6 linked regions of the Macaca fascicularis genome follow. The protein of the gene in region 5 purifies or fractionates together with the protein of the main gene of each other region. This does not show direct contact. Links are inferred from orthologs where the notes say so. Each region holds a gene or a part of one and is shown on either strand. Other genes may lie near its edges.

What was found.
Region 1: the proteins of CRKL (region 5) and GAB2 purify together in Homo sapiens (affinity purification with western blotting; 3 studies listed by BioGRID). This does not show direct contact. The link is inferred for Macaca fascicularis from reciprocal best matches to the Homo sapiens genes CRKL and GAB2.
Region 2: the proteins of CRKL (region 5) and NEDD9 purify together in Homo sapiens (affinity purification with western blotting; 4 studies listed by BioGRID). This does not show direct contact. The link is inferred for Macaca fascicularis from reciprocal best matches to the Homo sapiens genes CRKL and NEDD9.
Region 3: the proteins of CRKL (region 5) and RAPGEF1 purify together in Homo sapiens (affinity purification with western blotting; 16 studies listed by BioGRID and IntAct, with this or other methods). This does not show direct contact. The link is inferred for Macaca fascicularis from reciprocal best matches to the Homo sapiens genes CRKL and RAPGEF1.
Region 4: the proteins of CRKL (region 5) and GAB1 purify together in Homo sapiens (affinity purification with western blotting; 3 studies listed by BioGRID and IntAct, with this or other methods). This does not show direct contact. The link is inferred for Macaca fascicularis from reciprocal best matches to the Homo sapiens genes CRKL and GAB1.
Region 6: the proteins of CRKL (region 5) and SOS1 purify together in Homo sapiens (affinity purification with mass spectrometry; 3 studies listed by BioGRID and IntAct, with this or other methods). This does not show direct contact. The link is inferred for Macaca fascicularis from reciprocal best matches to the Homo sapiens genes CRKL and SOS1.

Annotation. Positions count from the first base shown.
Region 1 is NC_088388.1:77,316,496-77,322,170, forward strand, and holds the start of GAB2 (GRB2-associated-binding protein 2), read right to left. Parts: upstream 3,627-5,675; 5' UTR 3,525-3,626; coding exon 3,447-3,524; intron 1-3,446. UniProt on the Homo sapiens protein: Adapter protein which acts downstream of several membrane receptors including cytokine, antigen, hormone, cell matrix and growth factor receptors to regulate multiple signaling pathways.
Region 2 is NC_088378.1:161,758,078-161,762,981, reverse strand, and holds part of NEDD9 (enhancer of filamentation 1), read right to left. Parts: intron 3,965-4,904; coding exon 3,863-3,964; intron 2,692-3,862; coding exon 1,450-2,691; intron 595-1,449; coding exon 505-594; intron 1-504. UniProt on the Homo sapiens protein: Scaffolding protein which plays a central coordinating role for tyrosine-kinase-based signaling related to cell adhesion. As a focal adhesion protein, plays a role in embryonic fibroblast migration.
Region 3 is NC_088389.1:12,236,534-12,241,437, reverse strand, and holds the end of RAPGEF1 (rap guanine nucleotide exchange factor 1), read right to left. Parts: intron 3,824-4,904; coding exon 3,695-3,823; intron 3,081-3,694; coding exon 2,930-3,080; 3' UTR 229-2,929; downstream 1-228. UniProt on the Homo sapiens protein: Guanine nucleotide-releasing protein that binds to SH3 domain of CRK and GRB2/ASH. Transduces signals from CRK to activate RAS. Involved in cell branching and adhesion mediated by BCAR1-CRK-RAPGEF1 signaling and activation of RAP1.
Region 4 is NC_088379.1:148,465,862-148,471,497, reverse strand, and holds the start of GAB1 (GRB2-associated-binding protein 1), read right to left. Parts: upstream 3,321-5,636; 5' UTR 3,285-3,320; coding exon 3,162-3,284; intron 1-3,161. UniProt on the Homo sapiens protein: Adapter protein that plays a role in intracellular signaling cascades triggered by activated receptor-type kinases. Plays a role in FGFR1 signaling. Probably involved in signaling by the epidermal growth factor receptor (EGFR) and the insulin receptor (INSR).
Region 5 is NC_088384.1:31,930,153-31,934,547, forward strand, and holds part of CRKL (crk-like protein), read left to right. Parts: intron 1-2,235; coding exon 2,236-2,370; 3' UTR 2,371-4,395. UniProt on the Homo sapiens protein: May mediate the transduction of intracellular signals.
Region 6 is NC_088387.1:83,182,497-83,186,889, reverse strand, and holds part of SOS1 (son of sevenless homolog 1), read right to left. Parts: intron 3,976-4,393; coding exon 3,857-3,975; intron 2,735-3,856; coding exon 2,243-2,734; 3' UTR 1-2,242.

The sequences.
Region 1 (5,675 bases), on a different chromosome or scaffold from region 5:
CATCATTTCAATTTTCTTTGTGAAGGAGAAGGCAAAGCCATTGCTAAGACTGAAAGGCTGGATTAATGTTCTTTCTTTTTATTTACTGAATTTTTATTCCAAGCACCTGAAGTACCTAGGACATAGATTTAATAAGTATATTTAACAAATACAATGGAAATAAACAATTACTGTTACCTTAATGCAGTTGTTCATTAAAATTTGTGCACAACTTTCAAGTTAGCCACTAGGGGGCAGTCTGCCAATTTTATTCCCTAAATCTTTTAACCCAGTGAAATTGAAAACTACAATGCAGTGTAGGTCATATTAATAAAATGTTTTTCCTCAAGAAAATTCTGTTTAAGATTTATATACATGTACGTGTATATGCATTTGCATGCACACGCATACACACACAAATACACTGAGGCACGATGGGAGGGTTGTTACTCCTGCCAACCTCCCACTGCAACCGTATCAGGATGCCCCAGGGGCAATAGTCAGCATTTTCCAAAGTCATTTTTTGTAATTTCTCCAGGGCACTCAGCAAATAGCAGATAGATCTTTTATACTTATAATTAACTAGAAAAGGCTGATGAAAAAATATCTGAAAACTAATTGCTCAAACATTTGCCTTTGCTTCTTCTAAGATGTTTCCCCCCTCTGCACCTCCTTGTCTTTCTGAATTAAATAAGTTTTTTGTTTTTCTTTGAAATGGAGTCTCATTCTCTCACCCAGGCTGGAGTGCAGTGGTGCAATCTCGGCTTGCTGCAACCTCAGCCTCCCAGACTCACCCAATTCTCATGTCTCAGCCTCCTGAGTAACTGGGACTACAGGTGCCCTCCACAACGCCCAGCTAATTTTTGTATTTATGGTAGAGACGGGGTTTTGGCCAGGCTGGTCTCGAATTTCTGACCTCCAGTGATCTGCCGGCCTCAGCCTCCCAAAGTGCTGGGATTACAGGCATAAACCACTGCGCCCAGCCTTCGAATTAAATCAGTTTTTAAAAAAATCGTTTTAAATAGTTATAACCTAGTTCATCAACTACTTTTTCCCCTTATCTCATATGCTTGTGGCATTCTTATAAAGAGGATTTCTCAGTACAATATAACATGACTATGATGTATACCAGAAGCAGCAGCTACTTTGGGGTAAATATACAGCCATTAGGCTGGGAAATACTTTCCAAGTTTGGTTCTGATGAACTCGGGCCTCTACTGAAATAAGCAAACTAGCAGAGTTTTAACTTACAACAGGATGCAAAAATTCTTAATACCCCCAAAAACAGTAGACGTAAAAGAATACTGTTCCCCGGAAGCTTAAGGTTACACAGATCAGCAGTTTCAACTGGGGGGAAACTGAACTTTCGAAAGGGCAGAGGCTTCCAGTCATGTAAGTGAACACATCACATCCTGGCCTAAGAAAAGCTGTTACTGAAAGCTGTTAAGGTCTGACACCTGATGGGCTGAAGGTGCATCGAAGATGGGAAAGAGAGGCTAAGGCCATCACACGATTCTAGATTCGTTCAAATGAGTGAAAAAGGTGCTTGACCCAAATGCCTCCAAACCTGGTTTTTTTGAACTAAAGTTGTTTGGGAACAAAAACACCCAAGAAATGGGTCATAAAGAGAGTCTGGGTGAGCGTTCAAGGAGCGGTAAGTCAAATGGAGATACAATGTCATACTGTTTGCAAATTGTTTCAAAAACAAGTTTCAAGGTTTAGTGTAGTGTTCAAATTTGAAAACTAAGGGTCACTTTTTCTTTTTTTTTACTGTGGACACTCTATTCCACTAGCTTGTATGGAAATCTATTTGTAAAGATAATTTTTGGAAGCTCTTTGGGACAAAGTTTTAAAAATATTTATTAAATTGTTAATAGTAAATCACTGCTCCTTAATCCTAATTAAAGTATTCAACCTTCCTAACGAACTGATACAAGCCTGAAGAGGAAAAAAGTGTATTTCTTAATAATTATACTTTGGCTACATAGACACTCCTAAAAATGAGCTTTCAAACTGAGATGAACAATTCACTGCTTCATCCCTCCTATAAATCCACGTCCACTTTCAAAAGTCATGTGCTAAATCAGAATTTTTTTTTTCCTAGCAAACATCTACGTAAGAGCCTGATTTCATTGACACACACACTTGCACTCCGCAACAACAACACTTCCTTTGAAAAACAGAATGTCACTTCCTCAGTCCAGAGGCCAGAAGTCCCTTGATTCTGATCTGGGGAGCCAAGACAGGAAATTCTGGTAGGCTTCTGCTTCTCCCCCCATGGACAGCCACTGGTGCAGCTGACAGAGGGCAGGGTCTATTCCGAGCTCCCTTGATGCACTGCAGCTGGAGGCAACGGCTCCCTTCCAGGCTGTGGGAGTGATCCCGGAGTCCGGCACCACAGCCCGTTAAACAAGGGCATTTCATGGGAAAAGGAGAGGGAGCAGATGAGAGACCTTGAAACCTTCCAGCCACCTTACCCCCACTTCCAAACTCCCGCGACTACCCCAGGACCATTTCGGCAAAATCTCAGTAACTGGCACCATCTTGTACTTTGACCTCACCAGGCAAGGCATCCTCTGGGGAGAGGGGTTAAAAAAAAAAAAAAAAAAAAGCCAGAACTCCACGGCTCAGCGCCACGCCGTTCCACCTCCCCCAAACTGCCAGTTCCCCACCTAGAGGGAAGAGGCTGTTCCAGCGATGTCAGTAAACACTGTGGGTTGGCAACACCTGGGCGCCGAGAGCCTCGATCTCTCCCGACCCCAGACAACCGGGAGCTGCCAGGTCCCAAACCCGGGCCAGCCACGGGGACCAAACTGCAGTGTCACACCGGGGTCGGGGGAGGCGCCTGTGAGAGACGAACGGAATAAAGGGAGAGAAGGGGGACAAACAAATGAGTCACTTAATACAAGGGCTGCACATGCCGCTGACGCTGCCGGTGATGCAGCCGCGGACGGAGTGAGGCCGGCGGCCGGGAGGGGCGGGCGGAGAAAGGGAAGGAGAGGGCGTGAGGCGCTCGCCCTTTGTGGGGCCGTCCGCGCGGGCCCACAGCCTACGCCCCCCTTTCCCGCCCTCTCCCGGACCTGTGAGCTGAAGCTGCTAGGGGCCGCCGCGGAGCCCCAGCCCCGAGAGTCAACTCTCTCGGTCTCCAGAAGCCATCAATACAAACTTCGACACTATATTTAGTTTACGGGCAGACCGCCTGGGGAGGCGCCGACGCCGCGCCCGCCTGGCGGAGCAGGAGCCGCAGCCTCAACCTGCCGCCCGCCCCGCCCCGCCCCTCGGCGGCGCACCTGTGACAGGTGTGCAGGTACCCCACACGACCCTGGCCGCTCCTCGCCCCCGGCCCCCGCGGCTCCGGGCCCGAGCTCCCCAGCCTGCCGCCCCTCCGGGAGCCCCCCGCCCCTCCGCAGGCCCCGGAGCGCCCCCCGCCCGCCCGCCCGCCCCTCGGCGGCCGCGCCCGCACTCACATAGCGCCTCAACTTCTTCTCGGGAGGCGATTTCCTCAGCCAGCCGGTGCACACCACGTCGCCGCCGCCGCCGCTCATGCTGCCGGCCTGGAGCCCGCCGCTGGGTCGCGCGGACTAGGGCGCGGGCTCGGGCAGCTGGGGCAGCGGCCGGCGGTGCGCAGCTCGCGGGAGGCCAGGGGCGGGGCGGGCGGCCCGGCGGGGACTAGGCGGCGCGGCGCGCGCCCGGCGGCCTCGCGCGCGCCCGCTCCCCCGCCCCGAGCGCGCGCAATCCGCACTCTCCGCCGGGCCGCCGCGGGGGCAGTTGCAGCGGGAAGGCCGGCGCGCTCGCCACGCCCGCTCCCGCCGCGCCCCCGAGGCCGCCGCGCACGCGGACGCGGGGCTGGGGATCCGCCAGGACACAGAAAGCCACCGCCGCCGGCGAGCCCCGGAATCTCGCTTTCTCCTGAGGCCTCAAGCTGCGGGCGCGGAGGCCGGGGAGGCGGCCGCGCCCCTGGCGCTGGCGGGCGTGCGGAGAAGGGACTGCGCGCCCTCCGTCGTCGATCGATTTTTCACCGAGCGTCGACGGGGAAGGGATCCGAGGGTTGCTCGCGTTTCCGATCCATTCTGCGGGTCAGGTTCCTGCTGAAAGGAGGGACCCCTTCCCAGTAAGAAGTTCCTTAACTCTGGCGCCCCTCGGCGGGAGGAGGAGACGGACCTACTACGCGCCGGAGCCTTTGCACTCTTGGCTTACAGGATTGTCTTCAGTATTGTTCCCATTTTATGGACTGCCTAAGGGCAAGGGCTTGTACAAAGCCTAGCCAAGTTTCCAATTCAGGTGTGTGGGGGAGGAGGGGTCCCAGTCATCCCCTATTCAAAATGAGGGCATTGCCTTAATGGGATCAACCTGGGAGCCTCTCATTGCCTGGAAACAAAGTCCAGCTGAGTCCCTCCTACATTGCCTCTAGGAAAACAGTTAAGTATAGAAAACTCGCATGATTTGTAGAATGGAAGAAGCAAACCTAGTAAATATATTTCATAGTGAATTGGAAGGCAAGGTCAAGTGTAGAAGAACAAGAAATTGGGGTCCAAATTCCCCAACGTCCCCGCTCATTGACAGTGTCTCTCCAAGCAGCATTAAAAGGCAGGTCCTCCCTAACTTCTCTGATAAGTGGATAGTATCCTGTTTATTCAATGGGGAACCGTGCTGTGTGGACAGATGAATTGGAGAAGCAGCATCTTGCACTGCCCCACACAACCTTAGACTAAAGCTGTTTTGTTCATTTCTGTCTCTGTGCAGCTGAGATGTTTCAAGCAGTTGGACATCATTTGGTCCAACAGATCTTGATTGGGTTGGGGGAAGTTCACCCTCCTCAGTTTGGAAAAGCGAATCCGCTATCACGTACTTAGCTCTTCTAGATACCCTAGGAGTTTTAGCAGTCAGTCTCCTGGATCTAACATTTCACTGACTTTCTTCAATATCCACTGTGCTGCTGGATGGGAAGTAAAGCCAGAACTGTTAGGCTGGGACCACAGCTCCCTTAACCTTCCAATTTGGGGATCCTTAAGTCACATATGAAGGGCCACCACCAGAATGATGGCCATTTTAACTTCTGGCTTTAAGTACCTTAAATCCCTGTAAGACATACAATACTTAACGTCTGCCAAATCAATCAGGAGGCGGTGACTCCCCACCAAAATAAACCCATCCTGACTTCATTCACATCTGAGTCATGGTGCCAAGTCCCAGGGATTGCAGAGTCGAAGAAATCTGCATGGTTTGGCTGCAGCTGAGGTTTGTGATGCAAGTCAGGCAGACGTATGCCCTATCTTCCCCCAGAAGAGTAGTCTTTTACATATCCTTTGATAGTTATATGATTCAATACACAGACTGGAAGGCTGTTTAGCAAGAGTTAGTTGGGGTTAGGTAATATTCTGCCAGAAATTCTTTAAGGTCTTATTTTGTTTGTTTAGGAAAAGATGGTGTTATTTACAATTTCATGTAGAAATGGAAAAGTTTGATGTTTCTTGTTTGGCCAATGGCAGGAGGGACCTTGAAATGTGAATACAATAGTCACCACGTATCAGCTTTGGGAAGGGTTCTCTGAACATCTTTCCCCAAAGGTTGAAGGCGGGCTAGAGTGCAGTGGCGTGATCTTGGCTCACTGCCAGCTCTGCTTCTCGGGTTCAAGCCATTCTCCTGCCTCAGCCTCCCTAGGACTATAGGCGCCCGCCACCACGCCCAGCTAATGT
Region 2 (4,904 bases), on a different chromosome or scaffold from region 5:
AGTTACAGGGGAGCCAAATGAGTAGATAAGCAGAGAAAACCAGAAAATAGGGGAGGGTGAACAGATTTATAGGAAAAAAGCAAAGGAAGTACAAGAAGGAGAGAGAATGTACAGTTCTAGTCCTCACCAGACCTGGCTATATCTTCATTTTCTGTTACTGAATTCCCCTCCTATGACTTTACTGTAAACTTGCTTGCTTAGGCTAGCTTGAATGGGTCTTGTTTCTTGAGACCAAATGCCTTAACCCAAGTAGTCCTCATATGTTAGATACGCAGGTTTAGCCTTTAAAAAATTGCTGTTTAGATGTAACCCAGGTACACCCAGATGAACTAGCAAGGTCATAAACCTTCTCTTTGCTTTTAAACCCCATTCCGTGCTTTAGAGCTGATTCTTGCCAGTGAGCTGGAAGAATCGAAATCATAATCTCTTGAAGTTACAACTCTCCTTAGTACTAGGTGGGAAATCTTTCCAACACCAAGCAGCTTTTGCTCTGATTGAACTTACCTGATGATGTTCCAGCTGCATCTTGTTTTGTTTCATGATATTCTCTTTTTCCAATAGCTCTTTCTGTTGCCTCTCGAACTCCTCCTTACCCTGTTAATTTTCAACATAAAGAACATTATTATGTCATCACTGTGATTCACTTATGCTAACAATTTCATTGACAGATGAGTAAATACTCTTTATTTTCCACTGCCTTGGCAACATCTCAAATGCTCAGTGAGGCACTGTGAACCCTAGACAGGGGTGGCAGAAAAATAAAGCCCATTGCCATATAGGGTGCCAGCTTTCTGGGGCACCTTACAGTTTTCAGAGAGCTACTCATGATTCCCTTAAAATCTCCTATATAAATGTACTACTTCTCTGAGTTCTTTTCTCATAGATTATATGTGAACCCGTAAACCCCCAAACGCAGGTCTAAATGTGGTCCACCTCTCACTTCCAGTTCCCTCAAATCATCTATAGATTTCTGCTCCAAGGCAGTATTTCCCACTGTGCAGAGTCAGACAACGAGTAAGGTGAATGTTCAATGCCTCCATCCTGTCTCTCCACTCCCTCCCTCAGCACCAGGTGAGGCTCAGTTGGTAATATCATTAGAGGGCCTATTATCCTACTTGGTGAGTCTCCTCTTACCTGAGGTATCAATGGGATCTAATCCAGCCCCTTACACCATTCATTTTGCAAATGAGGAAATTAAGGCCCAAGGAGGTTGAATAAGTTGGTCACACAGTAAATGTCAGAGAAAGGGCTAGAGCTGAGTGAGTACTCAGGACTCTCAGTCCAGCGTTCTTCCTACTCTACAACACTCCCTCCAATTTGTGAACCATGTGGATTAACATTAATCGTGTGCTCTCCTTTGGTAGTCCAACCCGACATCCTTACAGGCATCTGTCTCAGGCTCCCTGCATGTGAGTGAGCGTAGGTGTTTTATGAGTTCGGCTGTTTTACCTGTAGGTGGACATAATCGTAGTCATCCATCCAGCTCCTCTCAGAACCATCACTGCTGCTACAGTCAGGGGCCTGCTCCTTGCTCAGGCCTGGGGGCAGTGCCTTGTTGTGGGCCTGGGCCTTGTGGTCACCAGGATGCAGCAGCTGCCCCTGGGAGCCACTGTGTGGGTACTCCGTTGAGTTCATGATGCTCTCCGGCCCGTTCTTCAGATGCAAGCTGCCAGGGCCGGGTCTGAAGAGGGCCTCTGCGTTGGTGTTGATGGTTGTGGTGAGCTGCTTGGCGTCATCGGGCACCGTCTTTGCCACCATCACAAACCGGTCCAGATCGTCACACTTGTTCTGGGGCTTGTTGATGGCCAAGATATTCAGGGACCAGCTGCACTCATTTAAGTCGTGGCTGGTTTGACTCAGAATCTGGTGGGAATCTTCGACTCGCTGCAGCTCCCGCTTCATCTTGTTGTGGAGGACGAGTTCCGGGAGGCAGGCAGCATTTGCAACAGCTCCCTTAACAAAGTGGAGGTACTCCTTCAGGAACAGCTCCACCTTGTCCACCGCCGTGCGTATCTCATTGATGTGTCTTTCCATATATCCGTAACACCGCCAGTCGGTGGTGACCAGTGCCATTAGGCTGGAGACACCCATCTCCAGGGCCTGCTGAAGCCGCTGAAGTCTCTCGATAGCTGTGTCTGGATCCAGTAAGAGCCTTTTGTCCTGAGCTGGGGAGGCTGACAGTGAGGACTCCTTGGAGGAAGTGGACGACGTGGACATGTTACTCCGGGTGCTGCCTGTACTGGAGAAAGACAATCGGTTGATCCCATCCACCAAGTCCCGAGAGCCTTTAGCGTCCGGCGGGTTATGCAGAGGGACATCATAAACACCATCCCTTTCTTGGGGGTTTGCTTTCTCACTGGTTTCTGCTGGTGGCTCAAGAAACTGAACGCCTCGGGGGACATCATATGCGTCGTTGTGAGAGCCCACTGACTGTCCCAGTTGCGGGGGTGGGTGATTCGGGGACAGGCTCTGGTGCCGTCGAGCTACGGGTTCTGCAGCTCCTGGAATGTCACAGTTGTATTTTACATGAAGGTCCTTTCCTGCTGGCTTGGCGCTGGTTGGGGGAATGTCATAAACCCCCTCAGGTCTGAGGTCTGCCCTTCCAACTTGTCTCATGGGAGGGGGGAAGTCATAGTCCTTTTCCCTAAGCCCTGCTTCATCCCGGCAAGCAGAGGGTGGAATGGCATATACCTGAAAAGCGAGTAGAAAGCGAAATGCTATTTATTGTGTTGGCTCGTGGGAGCATGCGGTCCCATGTGCTCAGTCCTATTTGCTGGCACTTTTTCGGTCGCCTTCCCCCGCCCCCCATGTTAGGCACTTCCAAGGTTCCCCGCTATTCTGCTGCCACTTCCCTTGTCCTTTGACAAGTGTCTCCACCCACATATTCTTGGTGTAGACTTGCATGTGCAACCCTGCTGGTTAAATTGCTCACCCCTGTGTTCCAGTCCTACATTTCTGACCACTTCCTGGGTATCCTTTCTCTGCTGATCTGTGCCGAGCAGCAGAGTAAGACCGGAGGTCTCCCCTGGTCTATTCGGTTATTACACCAGCTGTGTGATGCTGAATGAGCTGCATAGGTGTCTGAAACACAGTCCCCTTGTCTGTAAAGTAGGGATTACCGTGCTCTGTGCAGGCATACCCCAGAGGGTAACAGAGTGAGTCAAACGAGTTCACCCAAACATACAGACTGAGAAAACTGTCAAACCCTCTACAGGCCAGGCGTGGTGGCTCACGCCTGTAGTCCCAGCACTTTGGGAGGCCAAGGTAATAGGATCACTTAAGCCCATGTGTTCCAAAAACAGCCTGGGCAGCATAGGGAGATGCTGTCTCCACAAAAAAATAAAATTAGCCAGGCATGGTGGCATGCACCTGAGGTCACAGCTACTTGGGACGCTGAGGTAAGAGGCAGCTACTTGGGAGACTGAGGTGGGAGGATTGCTTGAGCCTGGGAAGTCAAGGTTGCAATGAGCTGTGATTGCACCACTGCACTCCAGCCTGGGTGACAGAGCGACACCCTGTCTCAAACAAAACGTAACAAAACAAAACAAACCCTCTACAAATATATATTAGTACTTGCCAAACTAATTATCTTCCCTGCCAAAGGGTTCTCCTTATTGGCCTCCCAATGTTTTTTAGCTGCGGCTCCTCAATATGAAATCCCTAGAGCTATCTTTAATGAGCCTTTCCTTTTTTGCTTCATTCCTTTACTCTCACCAAGACTACATTTTCCCCTTTTGGGTTTGCCTTTCTTGTTTTATTCCAATAAACTACTTACCCACCCTCCTCCCGACCCCATGCCCCTCGACACACAGACGCACACACACTCACACTCCTTTTTGCTGCTTTGTAGTCACTCACTTACCCCTTTTGTAGGCGGGATGTCATACACCCCTTGAGGTTTTATCTCTCCCACTGGAACTGAAAACACGGGGCCTTTCACTGATGAGGGAGGGATGTCGTATACCTGGAGAGAAACCCATGAGTTACCCACAATGGAAATGTCTTATACTTGTCATTTTTTATGCTCCTAAGTGCTTAATTACGGATTTATTTACCAGGTTGTGTACAAGCTTGATCTTTAGCAGTGCTCCATGTTATAACAAATTGATTACCTTTTTTTTTTTCTTTATACATTTTGTGGTTTTTAACTTAGACTGAATATAAAAATGATTTTGGCCAGGCGCGGTGGCTCACACCTGTAATCCCAGCACTTTGGGAGGCTGAGGGGGGCAGATCACGAGGTCAAGAGATCGAGACCATCCTGGCCAACATGGTAAAACCCCATCTCTACTAAAAATACAAAAATTAGCTGGGTGTGGTGGCACGCGCACCTATAGTCCCACCTACTCGGGAGGCTGAGACACGAGAATCGCTTGAACCCGGGAGGTGGAGGATGCAGTGAGCCAAGATCGTGCCACTGTACTCCAGCCCAGTGACAGAACGAGATTCTGTCTCAAAACAAAACAAAACAAGAAAAAAAAAAAAGATGATCTTATGTGAAATATCTACACTGCCTGTACTTTAAAGTGTAGTTTAAATTTTCTACTTTCCGGCTGGGCGCGGTGGCTCACGCCTGTAATCCCAGCACTTTGGAAGGCTGAGGTGGGCAGAACACTTGCGGTCAGGAGTTCAAAACCAGCCTGGCCAACATGGTGAAACCCTGTCTCTACAAAAATACAAAAATTAGTCAGCTATGGTGGTGTGTGCACCTGTAGTCCCAGCTACTCGGGAGGCTGAGGCAGAGGCAGGAGAGTTGCTTGAGGCTGGGTGACAGAGGTTGCAGTGAGCTGAGATCAAGCCACTGCACTCCAGCCTGAGCAACAAAGTAAGATTTTGTCTTAAAAAAAAAAATTCTACTTTCTGAAGTAAAATTGTAGAACATAAGCTCTCTTGGGTGAAATACT
Region 3 (4,904 bases), on a different chromosome or scaffold from region 5:
TCTAGGGCACAAGGCTTAGGAGGGAAAGTTCTGGTGACATCCATTCCACTCAGCCACAACTACCCCAACGGCAGCGAGTGGGCCTGGGAATGCAGCTGAATGACCCTCAGCCTCCCAGAAGCCCTGCCTGCTACAGGGGTCTCAGAAAAGAGGTGGCGAGGCCAGCCCGGAGCAGGCTGGGCTGTCACTGTAACTGCACACACGCAGCTGGGCGTGGACATGACATTCGGCAGCTTTCGTCTGTGTTTATTTTTTTTCATATAAAAGTTACATGTTTGAAATGTCTGCAGGAAGATGCCACCATCAGACAGGTTAGCTGGGGCATATATATTACAATGTAACCCTGTGGAGGTCGTGGGGCTGGAGCGGGAGACGCTCCCCAGAATTGGGTTTAGGTCAGACATGGTGTGTGCCTGCCCCTCCTTGCCAACCCCGACACCTGCAGGTGAGGCCTGACCTCTGCAAGGAACGAGTCCTCTGCCTGGCTCCTGTCTGTTTGTGAAGACTGATTCCCACAACCTGCCCGGCCCCCCAGAAGGAACAGACGAGCCATGGCCAGGCCGCAGCACTGAGCACAGAGCTCAGCAATAACCAGGGCCAGGAGCAGGGGGCGCAGGGGCACGCCTGCCATCAATAAATGAGACATACATCGCACCTTGCCGTCCTCACGCAGGGAGCCCCGGGCACTGCTCATGTGCTGCCTGGGCCCCGCTGCTCAGACCACCAAGGGCTCCCAACAAGGGCCTGGGGAGTTGCTTGGGCACACTGGGGCCAGGCACAGGGTCTGTTCTGAATTCACGGAAGGTGAAGAGACCCCACCTCCACCTGGCTCAAGCCCAAGAACAAGGCAGACAGAGCTGTGGACAGCACCCGACCACAGACACGGTTCCACCTGCTGCTGGGGGGAGAGGCCTGGTTTCTGAGGCTGCAGCATGGCACTGGCATTGCCTGTGCTCCAGAGGGGGACTCCTACGAGTCTCACAAATACAGGGAGAATTTCAGTTCGCACAAACCCAAGGGCCCTGTGTGCAGAGAGGCCCTCACACGCGCACAGCAGCATTCAACAGAGCTGGGCAAGGGAAGGGGAGAGAGAGGCAAGGATTGAAATGAAGGGACTTCAAAAAGAAGGAACAAACTAAAAACCCAACCCACACACAATACTGTTAATAAGCCAGCGACTCTACACACACACTCCTTAAATAATAAAGTGACAGGTCCCGGCTGGCCCTGCAGGACCACCGCCAGAGGGGATCCCGCCGCCAGAGGGGGTCCCGCCTGCCACTGCACGGCTTTCCTCCCTCTATCTACAGGACAAATAAAACATGGGCGAGGGGAAAAAACCCACATTTTCTTCTTGATAAATGCTGTTCAAAAACCCACGAAGGACTCAAAGTGACATGGTTGTTTTAAAAAAAAAACCCAAATGATCAACAGATGTTGCTTTCTACGTTTTGCCTTTGTTCTGTTTGAACTGGGCTAAGCATAGTTAGACCCTGCTGTTCACTTGACCCTGCTGTCCTAAACCTGGGACAAATGAGCACTCATTCATGCACAGCAGACCTGGAGGCATGGGCTGGGGCAGCACGACTGGGTTCCCGCAGTGCCCTGCCTGCAGGCTCATGCTGGAGGCCACAGAGCCGGGCGGCACAGGGCAGGTTCTGTTTGCCAAGCGCCCCACAAGCCTTGCCCAGATTGTCAAGCTCAGCAGCGAGAACGGTTTTGACGAGGAGGAGGGAAAGAGCATCTGCTCTGCAAGCCGCTCTAGTGTGGCGAGAGTAGGGAGAGGGCGCACCTGCTGCAGCTGCTACCTTAGGAGGCTCCTCCGCGGCCAGGCCTCTGCCTCCTTGCACCCCGAGGGCCCATTCGGGTGCCTCAGGGATGCCCTTCCCTCCCAGGGGCACTGACAGCACTGGCTGAAAGGTCTGAAGAGCCAGAGGAGGAGCCCTGCTGGCCGGCCCAGGATGGGGCGAGGAGGGAGGGAAAGCCAGGGGATGGGGAGGGACAGGAGATGGAGTTTAAGGCACACAGCGAGCGATGGAGGAGGGAGGTGCTGGCCTCTCCCCTCTGAACTAACTCCCCCAGGAGCTCAGCTCTGGCCTCAGTTTGGTGAGGTTCAGAAGACTCCCAGCAATAAAAAGTACTTCTTGGATGATCAAGTCCTCCCTTACTCCAGCCTCCTCTGCTCAGCTCCCCGGGTGGTGTGGGAGGGGCCCAGTGGCCTGGGGTGGGGGGTAAGGGGCGACAGGATGACAGACACTGCTGCTGCTCTCAGCAGGCAAGGGAGGCCCTGATGGCGCCAGTACCACGGTGCAGAGCACCAGCTGCTAAGGGGTCACCTGCGTACCTTTCCGGGCCTGCTGCAAAGCTCACACCATCCTCCATGCAACAGAAGCGGAAGCGAGAAGTGAAAGGACCTCCTCCCAGTCTACTCTGCGTTCTGCCCACCCAGCTGCTCGCCCCCATTCCAGGGCCCCTGGAGGACAACCCACCCCAGAAGGCCTCCACTCATTTTCCATTTCAGAAGATTCAGGGACCCTGGAGCTCAGGGAGGGGCAGCACCCGCCACTTCCTTGGTCTGCTGATGAGGTCTCTGCTGCTCTCTCCCTGGAGGGGAGTGGGTGGAAGGGCAAGAGGGGAGAGATGGAAGTAAAAGCAGAAAACAAAACCAAACCAGAAAACCACCGGTTTGCAAATTGGCAACAAGACCTGCCTGCTGGCTGCAGAGGCCCACGGGTCTGCTCCCACAGAGGAGGGAGGCAGGAAGCGGCAGGCAGACTCCAGCTCCCGCCCGGCCCCGCTGAGGCCTGGCCAGCCTCGTGGCTCCGAGGCCGGGACTCCTGCCACCCGCCTAACAGGTCCAAGGTCCTCTCCGGTCTGGGAGCTGCCCTCCGCGCCCCTCGAGCATTCTCCTCGATCCCGGCGGCTGCTCCTAGGTCTTCTCTTCCCGGTCTGTTTTTCTCCTTGTTATGTTCCTGGGTTTAATTTTCAGAGAGAGTTCCCATAGGGCCTCCTCAGCCAGGTGGTCACTGAAGTCATTGAAGAAGTTTATAATGTCGTCGTTCCTCCGGATGTCATAGTGCCTGGTGCAGGGGATGGGGAGCAGTCAGTGAGCACCTGTGTGGGCTGGATGGCCCGATGGCGCCACCCTCCTGGACGGTGCCGTGGGGACCATCCCCACAACCTCGCAGGAGACGGATGCTGCAGGGGCTGCCATTAACCAACGTGACAAAGGGGGGATACCAGCACTCAAAGACAGTACCAGCATATGGAGCACAAACAGGGCCCTGAGGCTGGGCTGCTCAAAGGGAAGGGGCCCCAGGTGACCCCACTGCCCCCAACAATGCATGTCAGGGCCCGCCCTGGGGGAGCTCTGGTGCCTCCGAGTCAGGCAGGCCAGGGTTTGTCAGGCGCTTCTCACAGCAAGGTGGGCACCAGCTTCTGGTGTGTAAAATGGGAGGACGAGCTGTGCCGTCACGGGGTCCAGGCCCAGGGCCAGGCCTGGCATGGAGCCTGGTGGGCATGCTCTCAAGTCATCCTGGCAGAGACTGAAGGGCCTGGACTATATCCCTGCTCAGCAGGGGGCGGGTCCCTGGGTCCTCTGTGGCTCCCCCTCCCCTCGGCATCCCGGGCTGTCTCTCCTTGGGTGTGGCCCAGGGCTCAGCTCTGCCCAGCCCCCCGGGGCAGCGGCACTCACGCTTGCTGGAAGCACCGCATGCTGTCGAGGATGTTGAACTGCTGCCACCGCTTGGAGAAGTTCACTTTCCCATCGATGTAGTCTGGGTTTCCCAGGTGAACGAAGGTCAGGTCCTGCAGGATCAGCCCCCTGGGAGGACGGGTTAGGAAGCCTGTTACTGCTACAGGGAGGGGCTGGTTTGGCAGCTGCTCACTGTGAGTCCTAGCGCCTGACACATGACTCTAGCCCTTGCTGCTTCCAAACCCCAGAGCAAACCAAAGAGCCAGTCTGGGGTGTCTGTCTTTCCCAGAACAAACTCCCTCCTCAGCCTCTGGCCTCTGGCTCCACAAGCACCTGCTGGGGCCCTCGGAAGCCAGTACAGCTGATGAGAAGCCTGAGGGTGACGTGGCTGCCATGGCTGCTAAAGTAACATTAAACAAATGAGCAGTTAAAAGAAAAAAAAAAAACAAAACCCCAAAAAAACCAAAACCCAAACCAGGGGGCAGGGGCGGAGATCTCCTTTTATTAACAGGTGTGGTGGGCTGGGTGCGATGGCTCATACCTGTAATCCCAGTTCTACAGGAGGGTGAGGCAGAAAGATTGAGCTCAAGAGTCTGAAAACGGCTAGGCTGGGTGTGGCGGCTCACACCTGTAATCCCAGCACTTTGGGAGGCCGAGGTAGGAGGATCACCTGAGGTCAGGAGTTTGAGCTCAACCTGGCCAACATGGTGAAACCCTGTCTCTACTAAAAATACAAAAAGTAGCTGGGCATGGTGGTGCACGCCTGTAATCCCAGCTACTTGGGAGGCTGAGGCGGGGGAATCACTTGAACCTGGGAGGCGGAGGTTGCAGTGAGCCAAGATTGCGCCACTGCACTCCAGCCTGGGTAACAAGAATGTAACTCTGTCTCAAAAAAAAATAAAATAAAATAAAATAAAAAATAAAAAAAGAGTTTGAAACCAGCATGGGCAACAGAGCAAGAACTCGTCCCTACAAAAAATACAAAAATTAGCTGGGCATGGTGGTGTGTGCCTGTAATCCCAGCTACTAAGGAGACTGATGCGGGAGGACTCCTTGAGCCCAGGAGTTAAAGGTTGCAGTGAGCTATGATTGCACCACTGCACTCCAGCCTGGGTGACAGAGACTCCGTCTTTATTAAACAAATAAAGAAACAGGCCGGGTGCGATGACTCACACCTGTAATCCCAGCACTTTGGGAGGCCAAGGCAGGT
Region 4 (5,636 bases), on a different chromosome or scaffold from region 5:
TTTTAGAGCCCAAGGTTGTGGTTTCAGCCAGACAGGTGTCAAAGTCAAAAAAAGTATTTCTGAACAGATACAGATGTCAGGCCACAAAACTGGAGGCTTGTAAAAACAATTTCTATACTATATAGAGTTGACCCAGGCTGGCATCTTTATGATCTGAGCATCCACTAGGTAGGAGTTTACAGGCACCCTAGTTTATCCCATCTGTCCTGTTCCAACCACTGGCATTCACACAGTAAGTTTGCAGAAGAGGTTCTCCAGATAGACTCACAGAAAGAGCTTCAGGACTAAATTCTGCAAAGACAAAAAACAGGCTGAGTAGAAACTCAAACCCACTCAGGATAGATTACCTAAAGGTATTTCTGAGACACGTCTTATGGTACCTCTTTTAAAGATATATAAAAGGGTGGCAGAAAGTCCAAAATTTCTGCAGAATTTAAAAAAAAAAAAAAAAGGGTGTTCTTTTGAGAGGGTATGGAAAGTATTCTAAATAGAATCTTCTAAAATCTTTCCTCTCAAGAAGAAAAAGTAGAAAGTTTACAGGCTCAAATCTCTACACTCTGCTTCAGAAACTCCCAATTCGTTCGGAAGGCCTTCAGATGGCCTAGCTTAGCTGGCAAATATTCAAATACAGTTATTCAAAATATGTTAATGAGGCTAACGTGGTGTTTGCATCACGTAACCCAACCCTCTCTTTCTTTGTGTGAACTGAACCTGTGCAGGTTAAAAAACAGGCGTGCCAAACACTTGCTAACTGAGATTACTGACTGTTGGCTGAGCAACTGCCAATTTAAAATAAGCATTTAGGGAGAAGGGCTTTGCTCAAATGCATACTGTATTTAAAAATGGATACAGAGTTTCATTTTGATATTCAAGTCAGTCCCACTCCCATATTCCTCTATGGGCATGAAAGCAAGTATTAACCATTTACATTCTTTAAGCACCATGTTCAAAGTATCCTAAAGATTCCAATGTACTTTAAAGTACTTTTTTAAAAATAATTTTCCAGTGAAATGTTTTTCATTCCACGAATGAAGAAATGGAAATAGCATTTATGCATTGTATAGATAGGGATAACTGGAATCAAAAGTAAAACTGTTATTTTATCTGAGTTAATATACCTATTCAACATCATCTTCAGCACAATATCAAGTATTTCTCTTGTGGGTAAAATAAAATCACAAAGTAATTAACTGCTCGTCTTTGGTTTGCACATATTTTCAAAATCTGAATGTTTCCCCCACAAGATCAGACTATCTTAACATTTTCATTCATCGTTCTCCCAGCCTCTCCCCCACCCCCCGGCCCCGACCCAAAAAAAGGCATTGGCTTGTTTCTTCATCCACACAGACATTCCATACATAGCCTGAATTTCAGAAGTTAGGCCATGCAGCTTCATGTTCAGCAGAACAGAAAGCACTGGTTCCAAAAAAAATCGCAACACCTCGCAGTCCCAAAATTAGTTTCCAAATCACCAGTCCTTATGTAGAAAAGCAGGATCCAGTAACATACATTTAAAAAATTAAAAGGGGGTTGGAAGAAAGGTATAAACGAGATTACACACTTACCCATGGTGACTCATTCTCATATGCTCAAGATTAAACAGAGCACTGAATCTAGGATCAGGAAAGAATTTTTTCCTCGGGGGAAGAAAGGGGTGTGGGATTTCCAAATGATCCGACAGTAGGATCATCTGTGTGGATCAGGTGAGCAAATCCCACATAATTAACTTCCTATTACTGTGAAGGAGCAAACACAGGTGAGGCACACGCCTTCCTGAAAGGTGTTTGCATAAAGCCCCTTCTGTTGTTTCCAATGCTACTGAGATTGAATGGAGAAGCAGGAGATATTGGGCTGGCACAACAACCTGAATACTTAACCTACTGTGCCATACACTTAAAAATGATTAAGATGGTCAAGTTTATGTTATGTGTTGCTGTTTTGTTTTAATTACAATTGAAAATAATAATTAAAAAAGCAGTCATTGGGATGAACTGCTCCATGAGACAGCTGAAAGGCTCTGGAAATGTGCAATGGTTTGAATGCTGGAAATCACAGCAACCCACTAAAGATGGAGGTGGATATAGAAATGGTAATGAGAACAGCTCTGGCCTGGGCATCAGGAAGCGTGTTCTAGTCTCATCTCTGCATGCTGAAACCAGCTGGCCTTGGACTCAGGGTATTTCCTAGGCCTAAATTAAGAATAGAAAGAGTAAAAAATGTTTTTCTCCTTTCATTAAGAAAAATTAGCCTTTATCCTCTTTTGAGTCATGTTGTTCTCCTTGAGGTATTTCAATAAAAATCTCGAAGAAAATCTATTCTGCTTTGGAAGTATACGGTTTAGAAAAACAACAGATCCTGTTTGAAAACAAACAGATGTTTTCAAGGCTAGAACTTAGTTGAAGGATGAAAAATATTTCAATATCTATGTTTCAATTTCACTTAGTAAAAGCATGGGCTTCTCAACATATAACTAATTCTCCAACTTGGAGCAAAGCACATTTGCTAAAAAATTTAGTGTGCATAAAAGCTACTATAAAGAGTATCTTTTAGTTATTTAAGAATCACTGGCATAAATAGGTAGATATTAAAGATTTGGAAATCTCTGGGTATTAAAAATTGTAACTTAAATAATGAATACCAATATACTATACATTTTAAGTAAATCTATGCACATTTTCTATTCAAATATAAGTAAACATAAAAATATTACAAAGTCAAATATATATATTATAGTTTAATGATAAATCTTCTACACCAAGTTTTTTTAAAAGAAACACTTCCCTTTAGTAACTTAGGCAAAGGGCAATAAATCTGCTTACCTAATATTTTATAACTCTTTTTTTCTCTATATGTTAAACTCAAAATGGAAAACTGTAAGTTAAAATACTTCCACTGAAAATTTATGTGATTTCCTAATGTTGCATTTTGATAGCTATTTAATGTTATGCTTCTAAGAGCATTTACACTTGTTTTCAGAAAATATAAAAATTCATTGGAAACACCCATCACTATGTTAAACAGTATATGAGTTAGAATAAATCACAAGGAAGAAAAAAAATCTGAAAAGTTAGGAATACTAAGAGGCTCATAAAAAGGAGATACACCAAGATATACCAAGTATATGATTTTAAAAACAAAAGAAAGCAAGAAAATAAGGTAACCTGAAATGAAGACAGCAAGTCCTGAGCCCAGTCTTCAAAGTGCAGGGTAGAAGACACAGGAGTCTCGCCTTTCTTGATTGCCAGAGTAAATGGAAGAAGCTGGTTTTGGGTCTCCACCAGCATACAGCAACAACCCTTCTATTCACTTCAGAGCAAAGTGATCTACTAACTACACTTACTTGGACTCTTAGTGCAATGAGAGGGTGTGGTAGACACTTCATACAATAACAATAATGATCCTCAACACTTACAATGCAGGTATGAAGATTCTATAAAATCTTGTGAGCAGATGGAAGGGAAAGAACATCAAAGATGGTAAAAAGGATTAGCAAGCTAGTTAATACACTATAGCGGTGAAAGTTCTAAAGTACAATCTGGGTTTCTAGAGCATGTATATGGAAAAGTGAACACTTTAATACAGAGATAATTAGAATAAAGAAAGAATGATTTAACAAATGCTGGCGATACTCGTCACTTTATAATTATCTTCCAAAATTCTTTTTTTTTTTTTGAGACGGAGTCTTGCTCTGTCGCCCAGGCTGGAGTGCAGTGGCCGGATCTCAGCTCACTGCAAGCTCCGCCTCCCGGGTTCACGCCATTCTCCTGCCTCAGCCTCCCGAGTAGCTGGGACTACAGGCGACCGCCACCTCGCCCGGCTAGTTTTTTGTATTTTTTAGTAGAGACGGGGTTTCACCGTGTTAGCCAGGATGGTCTCGATCTTCTGACCTCGTGATCCGCCCGTCTCGGCCTCCCAAAGTGCTGGGATTACAGGCTTGAGCCACCGCGCCCGGCCGACTATCTTCCAAAATTCTTTTCTTTTTTTGTTTTTCGGTCAGGACCTCTCTCCAAGGTTACTGAATCGAACTATAAAGTTCCTCTATGGAAATAATATGTCCAAAAAAAAAAAAAAAAAAAAAAGGAATAGCTGTCTAGAAGCAGAGTACATTCAATAGGTAGCTGGAAGTCAAGTACTTTATTCCTCTGCTAGGATTAAGTAACCATTCCCACCTGGTCCACTTCTTGACCAATTTTCTAAAGTGGAGTCAGTCTGTCTCTCTTGCTCTTTCTCTAACGTGGGCTTTAAAATCAAAGTTTAGGTTAAAAGAGATAGATTAGAAAATATAAATCTAACACACACATATACAAACACAGAGCTGGAAAGCAAGAGAGCTTCCTCAGTCAAGTAGACCCACTTTTGGTGTTCTTTTACACATCAACCACATCTCAACTAACCAAAAATTGGGGCAAATCAGACATGTATTATAAAAATAATGGGAAAGAATATTAGAAATGTGAACTATTCCAGGAAATCCGGACTATACTTTAATAAGATGGTTTCAGATCCAATAACTAGAATAACCAGAACTTCTGGTGAACAGCTAATCCTCTTTCATCTCTCCTCTTCATCTTTAAGCCATTCATAAACTCTTGATTCAGGAATGCACATTCTTCTTTAAACAGACACCTACAAAATACTTTCTTTGATTTAATCATGTCTTTTGAGTTTTTCGGCGACAGTTAGGTACTTTCTCATATTCTAACCTTTCTAAAAATTCCTTTTCACTTTTGTCATCCTCTAAATATGTCCTCTTTGGAGGACAGTTTGATCTCGTTCACTGCCAGAAAAAACTAAACACTTATCTTTTTAAGCAGCACAGCATACTCACTCCCTTCATCTCACTGAAGAGAGATTAAAGTTACTCCCTCAGTTTTGGTTCTTGCTTTCCTATTCCACTCTTTATAAGTATTTACTTCTATTGGATTTTCTTTCTTGTCTCTTTTTCCCTCTATGCCCAACTCAGGATTTCTCCAAGAGTAATCTAAGGACCATCTACATCAGAATCAGCAGGGGTTCAAGTAAGAAACTGCAGTTTTCTGGACCTCTACCCAGACTTAATAAAAATATTAGAAGGAGGGTAGAGCCCAAGAATCTTAACTTTAGAAGTTACCCAGTGATTGTTATGCACACTGAAGTTTAAGGACCACTGACTGCTCTACACCCTTGTTTTTTCCCAACCAAATGACACAAGGACTCTGCCAAGCTATAAGTATCTTAGGATCATCTGAAAAGAGAGAACACCTTAACAGTTCTCTCTTTGCATTCCTTCTATTTGCCTTCCTTCTAAAATACACATGGAAGAGGAAAGAAAGCTTGGAGAGTGGGCTGAATATGAGACATCAGCATAAATGCAGACTTGTCAGCCCTGCTCTGTGGCTGCTGCCAATTACAGTAGCCAGACCTGAAAGAGGACTTGATTACATGTAATTTATAAAAAGTAAACAAGCTGGGTGGCTTGTGAACAATGAATGGTGATATTGCAGCCAAGAGGTAAGAAAATGCATGAAAAAATGACTCAGCATCCCCCTACTAGACAACAATTGGCTGTACTCTAAGCTAGGAGAGTAAAGGAAAAAAATGAGTATTTTGGTAATGATTTAAATGACAACAGATCCTTGGAGAGAGAATTTGCCTAT
Region 5 (4,395 bases):
TTGGTTCACTGCAACCTCCACCTCCCAGGTTCAAGTGATTCTCCTGCCTCAGCCTTCTGAGTAGTTGGGATTACAGACATCTACCACCACACCTGGCTGATTTTTGTATTTTTTAGTAGAGATGTGGTTTTGCCATGTTGGCCATGCTGCTCTCGAACTTCTGACCTCAGGTGATCCACCTGCCTCGGCCTCCCAAAGTGTTGGGATTACAGATGTGAGCCATTGCGCCCAGCCTTTTTCTTTTTCTTTTCTTGAGACAAGGTCTCGCTCTGTCACCCAGGCTAGAGTGCAGTGGCATGATCACAGCTTACTGCAACCCTGCAACCTCTGCCTCCTGCGCTTAAGCGATCTTCCCACCTCATCCTCCCAAGTAGCTGGGACTGCAGGTGCATGCCACCATGCCTGGCTCATTTTTGTATTTTAGAGACAGGGTTTCACTGTGTTGCCCAGGCTGGTCTTGAACTCCTGGGCTTAAGTGATCCACCCGCCTCAGCCTCCCAAAGTGCTGGGATTACAGGTGTAAGCCACTGCGCCCAGCCACTTCGTGTTTTTTACACTATGTTATTATCTAACAAAGATTCATCGTGTATCCCACTTAAAAGACAAGTTTTTTGAGGATACGAACTGACCTGCCCATTTTCCATGGAATAGATGTTCAGTAAATTTTATTTAATTGTTTAGGTAGGATCATGTAGAAAGTATCCTGTTAAAGACCGCCAGACTCACAAGTTAATTGGAAGGTATGAGGTGTGAGTGTTCTTGGTAGCTTTCAGTCCCTAGCCTCCTCATCTCCATCTTCCCGTTGTCTTCCTTGGCTGCTCAGTATCCATCACAGTAATTTATTAGACCCCGTTTTCAGCCTGTTCCTCGTTGGTTTTGAGAGGACCCTTGTTGGTGACAAGGTTGGAAATCCTCTGATACATACAGTGCTGTGCTTCTCAGTGCTAATTCCAGCTCTTCCCTTCGTGCATCCAAAGGGTATGATCATTAGAGGGGGCGTGGGGCTGGGTTCTACTCAGGAATCTCTACTCAAGTAACAATCATTTGATTACTGTAAGACCCTTTCAAAGTTGGAAGGAAACTGAGACTTGGAGAACTTAAGCAGTTTGCTACAGTCATGTAGTTTCTAAAAGTGGCAGAACCAGGACATTTGTTTGGTGTCCTGCATGTTCCAAAGTTCATGGCATGGACCACTGGACTGTGCCACCTTGTGCCTGTTTTTATTTTGAGATGTAGTCTTGCTGTGTTGCACAGGCTGGTCTCAAACTCCTGGGCTCAAGCAATCCTCTCACCTCAGCCTGCCAAGTACCTAGAACTACAGGCACGCACCACTATGCCTGGTTCTGTATGTGTTTAAGCAGACGAAAGCTTATTTATTATTGTCTTAGATCTTAGGCGTGTCTTATATTCAAGTAGTGTTTTTATGGACCTGAGTACACAAAATAGAATCTTAGATTAGTGCTCTGCTGAACAGAGAGCACAATGTCTACAATGGCTACCACCTGAAGGTCTTTTTTAAAAATACACCTTTTTGTGTGATTTGACTTTAACTGTTCTCAGAATCATGTGTTCATTTCTATCCTGTTGGGGTTAGTAGCCAAAATAAAGGGTTGGTTTGGGGAGGAGCTGCTTTGTGCTCAAAAGCTGTTTGTGCGTGTGCGTGTTTTTGTTTTTTTGAGCAGGGTCTCACTCAGTTGCCCAGTCTGGAGTGCCATAGAACGATCACGGCTCACTGCAGCCTCAGCCTCATGGGCTCAAGCCATCCTCTCACTTCAGCCTCCTGAGTAGCTGGGACTAGAGTCATGTACCACTACACCCGGCTAATTTTTCTATTTTTTAGAAGAGATGAGGTTTCACCATGTTGCCCAGGCTGGTCTCGAACTCGTGACCTCAGGTAATCCCAGGAGTTCAAGGTACAATGAGCTGTGATCGTGCAACCGCATTCCAGCCTGGGTGACAGACCCTGTCTATAAAAAAATTAATGTGCATGGTGGTGCACGCCTGTAGTCACAGCTATTCAAGAGGTGGTGGTGGAAGGATCACTTGAGCCCAGGTGTTAGAGGTTACATTGAGTAGTGATCTCACCACTACACTCCAGCATGGCTAACAGAGTGAGACTCTGTGTCTAAATAATAATGTATGGGCCCTTTGGATAAGGTAGTGTTTGTGATTTAATGTAAACTGTCTTTTTCTTGTTGCAGAGAAATGCTAACTTTGTCTTCTTCATCCGTACAGGTTGGTGACATTGTGAAAGTCACAAGGATGAATATAAATGGCCAGTGGGAAGGCGAGGTGAATGGGCGCAAAGGGCTTTTTCCCTTTACGCATGTCAAAATCTTTGACCCTCAAAACCCAGATGAAAATGAGTGATTGCCGTTGCCCCGTTTCCTGCTGCTTTGTTGTTCTGCCTGTCCTAGTCTCCTTTGAAGTGGGAAAGCATTCTCTCTCATAGGCAAGTCACACTGCATTGCCGAAGTCCAGCTTTCTGCAGACTGGCAGTCGCACACACATTTGGAATGCACACAGCGACTGCCTCCTGACGTTTGTATCATAGTTGTATTGTCAAAGAGTAGCCGATTTTAGAGTTCTTTTGGATCATAAACTGGAAATACTGATGGAAGCACACAAGTGGAGAGAAGTTGACGAGGAAAGGGTCTTCCTTCTCATCGCTGCCTGTTTGTACATGGGACTGATTCTGTCGTGTTCACCAGAGAAAGCCTGAGGCCATGGCGAGATACTGCATGTTTGCTGTTCCACAGAGCAGTGGCTCAGCTGCCATCTTGCTTTTCTTTGGACAACAGGAACTGAACCTTAAGGAAGAGAGAATTCTGTTCTAAAACTCCAAAATTCGGCTTTTTTTTTTTCTTTTGGTTTGGTTTGGTTTTGGAAAACTAATTAATTAGACTTGTGTGGGGTTTTTTTGTTTTGTTTTGTTTTGTTTTTTGTTTTTTTGAGACGGAGTCTCGCTCCATCACCCAGGCTGGGGTGCAGTGGCGCAATCTTGCCTCCCTGCAGTTTTCGCCTCCCGGGTTCAAGCAATTCTCCTGCCTCAGCCTCCCGAGTAGCTGGGATTACAGGCGCGCACACCACGCCCAACTAATTTTTGTATTTTTAGTAGAGACGGGGTTTCATCATGTTGGCCAGGCTGGTGTCGAACTCCTGACTTCAGGTGATCCACCCGCCTCAGCCCCTCAACGTGCTGGTATTATAGCCATGAGCCGCTGTGCCTGGCCTAGACTTGTGTGTTCTAAACAGGTTAAGTAGCAGGTTGGGTTTTTATGATAGTGCAAGGAATGACACATGCCTCTGAGCTTCTAAACTGAAGCTGCTGTAACTAAAGGAATCTGAAAAGAACAACCCTGAAGCAGAGGCCTTTATTGTCTTGGTTGCCAGTAGTAGTTTGTTTTGCCATGTAGCAGAAAACACACAAAATAATGCAGCTGTGGTGTGCCATGCCATGTGCACAGCCCCTTGGATTACTTTGTTTTAAAAAGCATCAGAGTTGGGGGGTACTTTAGGGAAACCTTTGCTTACCTTGTTTGCCAGTGATAAGAGCAGTGGGTTGGAGGGCAGTTGGCCAGTTTTCTGTTCAGCTTTTCAGTGAATGTACCCCTTTAAGGTTAAGACTTAAATTCCCCTAAAAAGTGGGGTTGTTCATAGAATCATTGGACTCATTAATGAATCGTTAAATTCCACTCACTGAAGCCCAGACCTCCGTACCCAGGCCCAGTCTCACCAGGCTGCCAGAGAAAGTTGGTGCTGCTGATACTGGTCTCACAGTCTAAGTAAGTGTCTGATGCTCCCAAGCAGTGGAAATGCAGGCTCTGGAAATTGGTTAATGTATTTGATGTCTTAGTGTTTTAGTGACTAGGGAGACCATTAACCAGTTTATCATTAACCACTTATCAGTGTATTGATGTTAAAGCATTTCCCTGTTAGCTAAAAGAGGCCTGTTCATACAAGCCAGCTGGTATATATGTGTGGTTCATCCGTCATCTGCTGCTCATGGCAGACTAGAATTCTGGGAACCCTGTGTAATTCAGTCTGTTCTCCCTTCTGGGCCCTGGTAAAGACAAGCCTCAGCTTATAGTGAACACAGCAGACCTAGAAATGTAGCAACAGCCTAATGAGTAACTGTCATTTACTGAGTATCTGCTGTGACTGTGGCCCTGTCTGGAGGTTCCTAGGTTTTGAGATTTAGAACAATGCCTTCTGGAGACAGAACCAGCAAAACAACCATTTTTCAATTTTTCTTTAAATCAGTATTCTATTAGGCAGATAACTGCCATATTCATGAATCTTGAGAGTGTTCCCTGTGACAGAATTAATGGTCAGTTGGGAAAACTATCACCATGGCTTCCCATCTATGGTTCTCCTCTAAAATTCTTAGAGATT
Region 6 (4,393 bases), on a different chromosome or scaffold from region 5:
TAACACATTAGCCGAAGACATACTGAATGGGATCCAATGTGACTTTTACCAGGTTCTCATTTGGAATGGGCCTGGGGCAATTAAAAAGAGAAGTAATCCATGAGACATAAAAAGAGAAATCCTAGGGACAATGAGGCTGGCCCAGTAAAAAGTCCTGGGAGATTCTGGACTATGTATCATGATTAGTTGTAGTGGCACTAGTAAGTTGGCTTACATAAATACTGTTGAGTGGATGGTCTTAGGGACAGTTTGCATCCAAGAGGAGATTTGAAATTAAATTTTTAGGACACTTTCCAAAGAAGAAATATTTTATAAAGAGAAAAATGGCTACCATCATAGGAATGGTACAGATATTAAACAAAAAGGATTCAACTCTAACAAATAAATAAGAAAATAGGATAGACTGCTTAATGACGGTGCAGTTAACATACCTTCTGGTCTTAAAGGACTACATACTGTACTATCGTGATGTACATTTTGCGCTCTAATAAATATCATAGGAAATTATTAAAGTACTAGGTTCCCACCATGTTGCAGCACTTCTACAAATGTCTCTTAATAGCGTGGTTAACAGAATTGCTGAAATGTTGCTTCATTATTCAGAGGATACATGCAGATGCTGATGAACCAGATAACTCTCTAAGGATGGAATACTGCACATTTCACAGACATTATAGTGGAGATTAATAAAATGTTTTCTCTTCAACAAGGTGCATGCATTTCAGTCACAGTATTTGTTAGACTCAGAATAACAGTACATACGCTTTATGAATAATCCATATTATGATAGTAATGATGCAGGTAGATGTTCTGTCATGAATAGTTTTGATAAAGCAGAAAACCTCAAGCAAGGTAGAATGTTCAATAGAAACCTTAACACACTGTACACATGTTGCTTAGGAACTTAAAACTTACAAAGTTCTGCTTAAAAGATACCCATCCTATTCTAACCAAGTATCTTCCTATATGCCAAGCTGTGACTTTAGATCATTCTTTAAGATTAATACATATATCCAGAACTAGAAACCAAGGCGTACCACAAAACGTGCTTTTATGTTTAGTGTTTTTGTGTGTTTTTCAACTAAAAGAAATAAGAATCAACCATTTTCTTCATATAATAATTTAATATATGCCAGCCAAACAAAGTATTTGTATCTTTATTCAATTAAATTAAAACAGACCTGCCAGGTATATTATATAACATTCACTATATACATATGATTTAGGCAATGCAAGATAATTCTAGATATGCTGATTACTCAACTATGAGTAAAACATGAGCGGTGTCAGTGATGCCCAGCAAGTGCTCCTTTTCACATTGGGTGTCTGCATTTCCATGGTATGGTTAGAGGGATAGCTACGAGCCATGACATGGACTACCAGTAAACTTTTGTGGGAGAAGGAGGGAAAATGACAATCTAGCATAGATTAACAGTCTCCTAAATGCAAATAGAATACTTGACAGTTATGTTTTTTTAAAAAGTTCTTCTGTCATGTTAATGACACAAAACTTCTTTTTTGAAGGCAACACCACCACATTTTGTTTGGGTGTGTGGGGACAGGTGGGGAATGCTCTTAAAATTGGTATAATTATTCCTAAAACAACAACAACAACAAAAAAGTACCTCTTTGGTGAAGCCTCGGTACCCATTCAGTTCACCGTAATAATCTGTAAACAGGACTGTAGTACAGTGCCGGGCCTTGATTTCAACAAGGTCAGGTACCACAGCCTTTCCTCACAGTCCTTTGAGTGATTTTTAAGAAAATATTCTGAAGTAGAAGAGTAAAGCAAAGGAAAACAAAGGAAGATATTAAGATCCCTGTTTACATTTTTTTTTAAAAGTGCATAATTTGAATTACAAAACCTGTCATCATGTGGGCCTGCTGGACACTAGACTGTGTTTTCCATCCCTTTAATGATCACTTCACAAAAGATCACTTCACAAACACTTCCCAAAAAGAGGACTCCTGCCTATTGGCCAGAAAAAGTCCCTTTATGATTTTCAGGTGCAATCAGTTGTCCAATTCCTCTAGGTCAGTCTTTCCATATTCTAAACTGGAATACCATTTCCATGTTATAATTACATCTAGGTTAAAATTCATTGTCTTATACTGCATCTTGAAGAAGAGTCGTTAGTGTTTGGAGTTCTCATTTTAACTCCTCAGTGCTGGCACGTTCAGTGCATCCATTGCCAGCAATGGATTTGGGGCCAGGAAAATATACATCCCAGTACAGAGGAACTCAAGAAGAATGGGCATTCTCCAACAGTGGTGGTCCATCTCTGTGCATGGATGGGTGTGTGTGCTCCCTTTTGTAAGTTTTTGGAGGGAGTTTAGGGATATGTTGAGAAGTGCTTTGTCGTGGAGGAACAGGCGGCCCAGCAATGGAATGAAGGTCCACTTCTTGTGTCAATGGTGGTGATGGCAGATGCCTTCTTGTGCCGTGAGGAGAAGGTGTTTGAGGAGGAGGTGGTGTAAAGGGGGATGGGCTGTTTGGGAAGAAGGCATTGCCATGGTCACTTTTTTTGCCCAAAGGGGGAGGTTGGAGATGTAGTGGTGAGCTTGAGAAAACATCAGGTGTCCTCACAGGTTCTCGTGGTGGTAATAAGGGAGGGCTTTCAGGAGGGTCTGAGATAGAGGTCCGGTCTGATATTGAATATCGTGGTGAATAGGCTTTTGATGTGGGTTGCCTAGGAGGAATGGCTGGGGGGCTGTCCAAATGCTTAGACATAATCTAACAAATGAAAAGAAGAATAAAATACACATTTATTAATAAATTTATGAAGTATCATGACTATAAGAATTAAGTTGGGGTTTTCAAACATGCTATTGGCAGGATGCTAAGTGTGGAACAGGGAGTTTTGCCGTATGTTTCCTTTGTAATTAAAAAAATTTTTTTTGAGACAAGGCCTTGCTCTATTGCCCAGACTGGAGTACAGTGGTGCAATCATGGCTCACTGTAGCCTCAACTTCCTGGGCTCAAGTGATCCCCCGACCTCAGCATCCCAAGCAGCAAGGACCACCATGGCTGGCTAATTTTTTCATTTTTTGTAGTCAAGGTCTTGCTCTGTTGCCAAGGCTGGCATGTGTTTTAAATGGAAGGTTCTGCCAATTCATAGAAAAAAAAAGTTTGCCAAAGTTTTTACTTAAATTTTTTTCCTCAAAATTTTGTTGTTTGCTACTGCTTACTGACTTAGCTTATCAATCAAAGATCATTTCTAATTTAGCATAAATTGCCTATTTTATAATTTTAAATTAACTATATTAACATTCATGAAGTTGTACAAAGAGTGTCTTGACTTACCCTGGTGCTCTGCACTCTGGACAGCTTAAGAACTAATGCGTTAAGTTAACAGCTGGCCCCCCCGCCAAAAAAAGTAGGTAGAAATAGCTATTTTGAGCCTTTAGGGTCTCTTCCAAACCCAGAATTTTCATGAAAACTCCATTTAAAAGTATGTCAGATTTACTATTAAGGGCTCAGATAAGTAAATTTTAGCATATGTCAAGATACAGTTTGACTTATAATGTGTCTTCATACAAAGCTTCAGGACTATGTTTTTAAAGAACTGCTTGAAACCAAATTTCTCTTACTTTATAGATTAAAACATTTTTTTTTTCTGAAAATAACCATAGCCTTAGGTTTACAAGGGTCTTGAATGCATACCAAAAAACTACCTTCAGAAGAAAAGAAACATTACTGCATGCTAAATCTATATGTAATCCTTATTTAAACTATTAAGCCTATATACTCTGAAATGTTAACTTATTCCAGTGAGAACTAAACTAGACATAAGCCGTTTATTATAATGTAACTGTAATGATTCCAATTTCTACATAACAAGATTTCTTACTTTACCTTAGATGGTGAAGATTCTGCTGGGGCAGATTCTGGTCGTCTTCGTGGAGGAACAGGAGGAGGGACAGGCACTTCATCAGTGCCTTTGGTTAAACTTATAGATGATACAGAAGCAGATCCTGTAGGATGTTAAATTTTTAAGAAAAAATTCACAGGAATTTTATTTCATTTATTTATCTTGAAAAGTCTTAGCTGGAAATTGCTTATGATTAAAAGTAATGTGTAGAAATACCAAAAGCAGTTCAGTAAACCAATACCCAATAGTATTTCATTAAAGCAAACTGCCATAAAAGCATGCAGACATTTTTTAGCAGAATATTTAGAAAAAAGCTGCCTAAGGTATTCTGTTATTTTGCCTGAACAAAATAACATTCCTGTGGTTACTCTATTATTGAAATTTTTAATTGGGTCTGATTCTTAGATGTCTGGGAGACAATGAGCTACTGAAAATCTTTGGAATGGTAATTTTTAGACTCTATACTGGGTTCATTTTTTTCTTTGATTTTATTAGAATTTATAGAACTTCCCCACCTTACT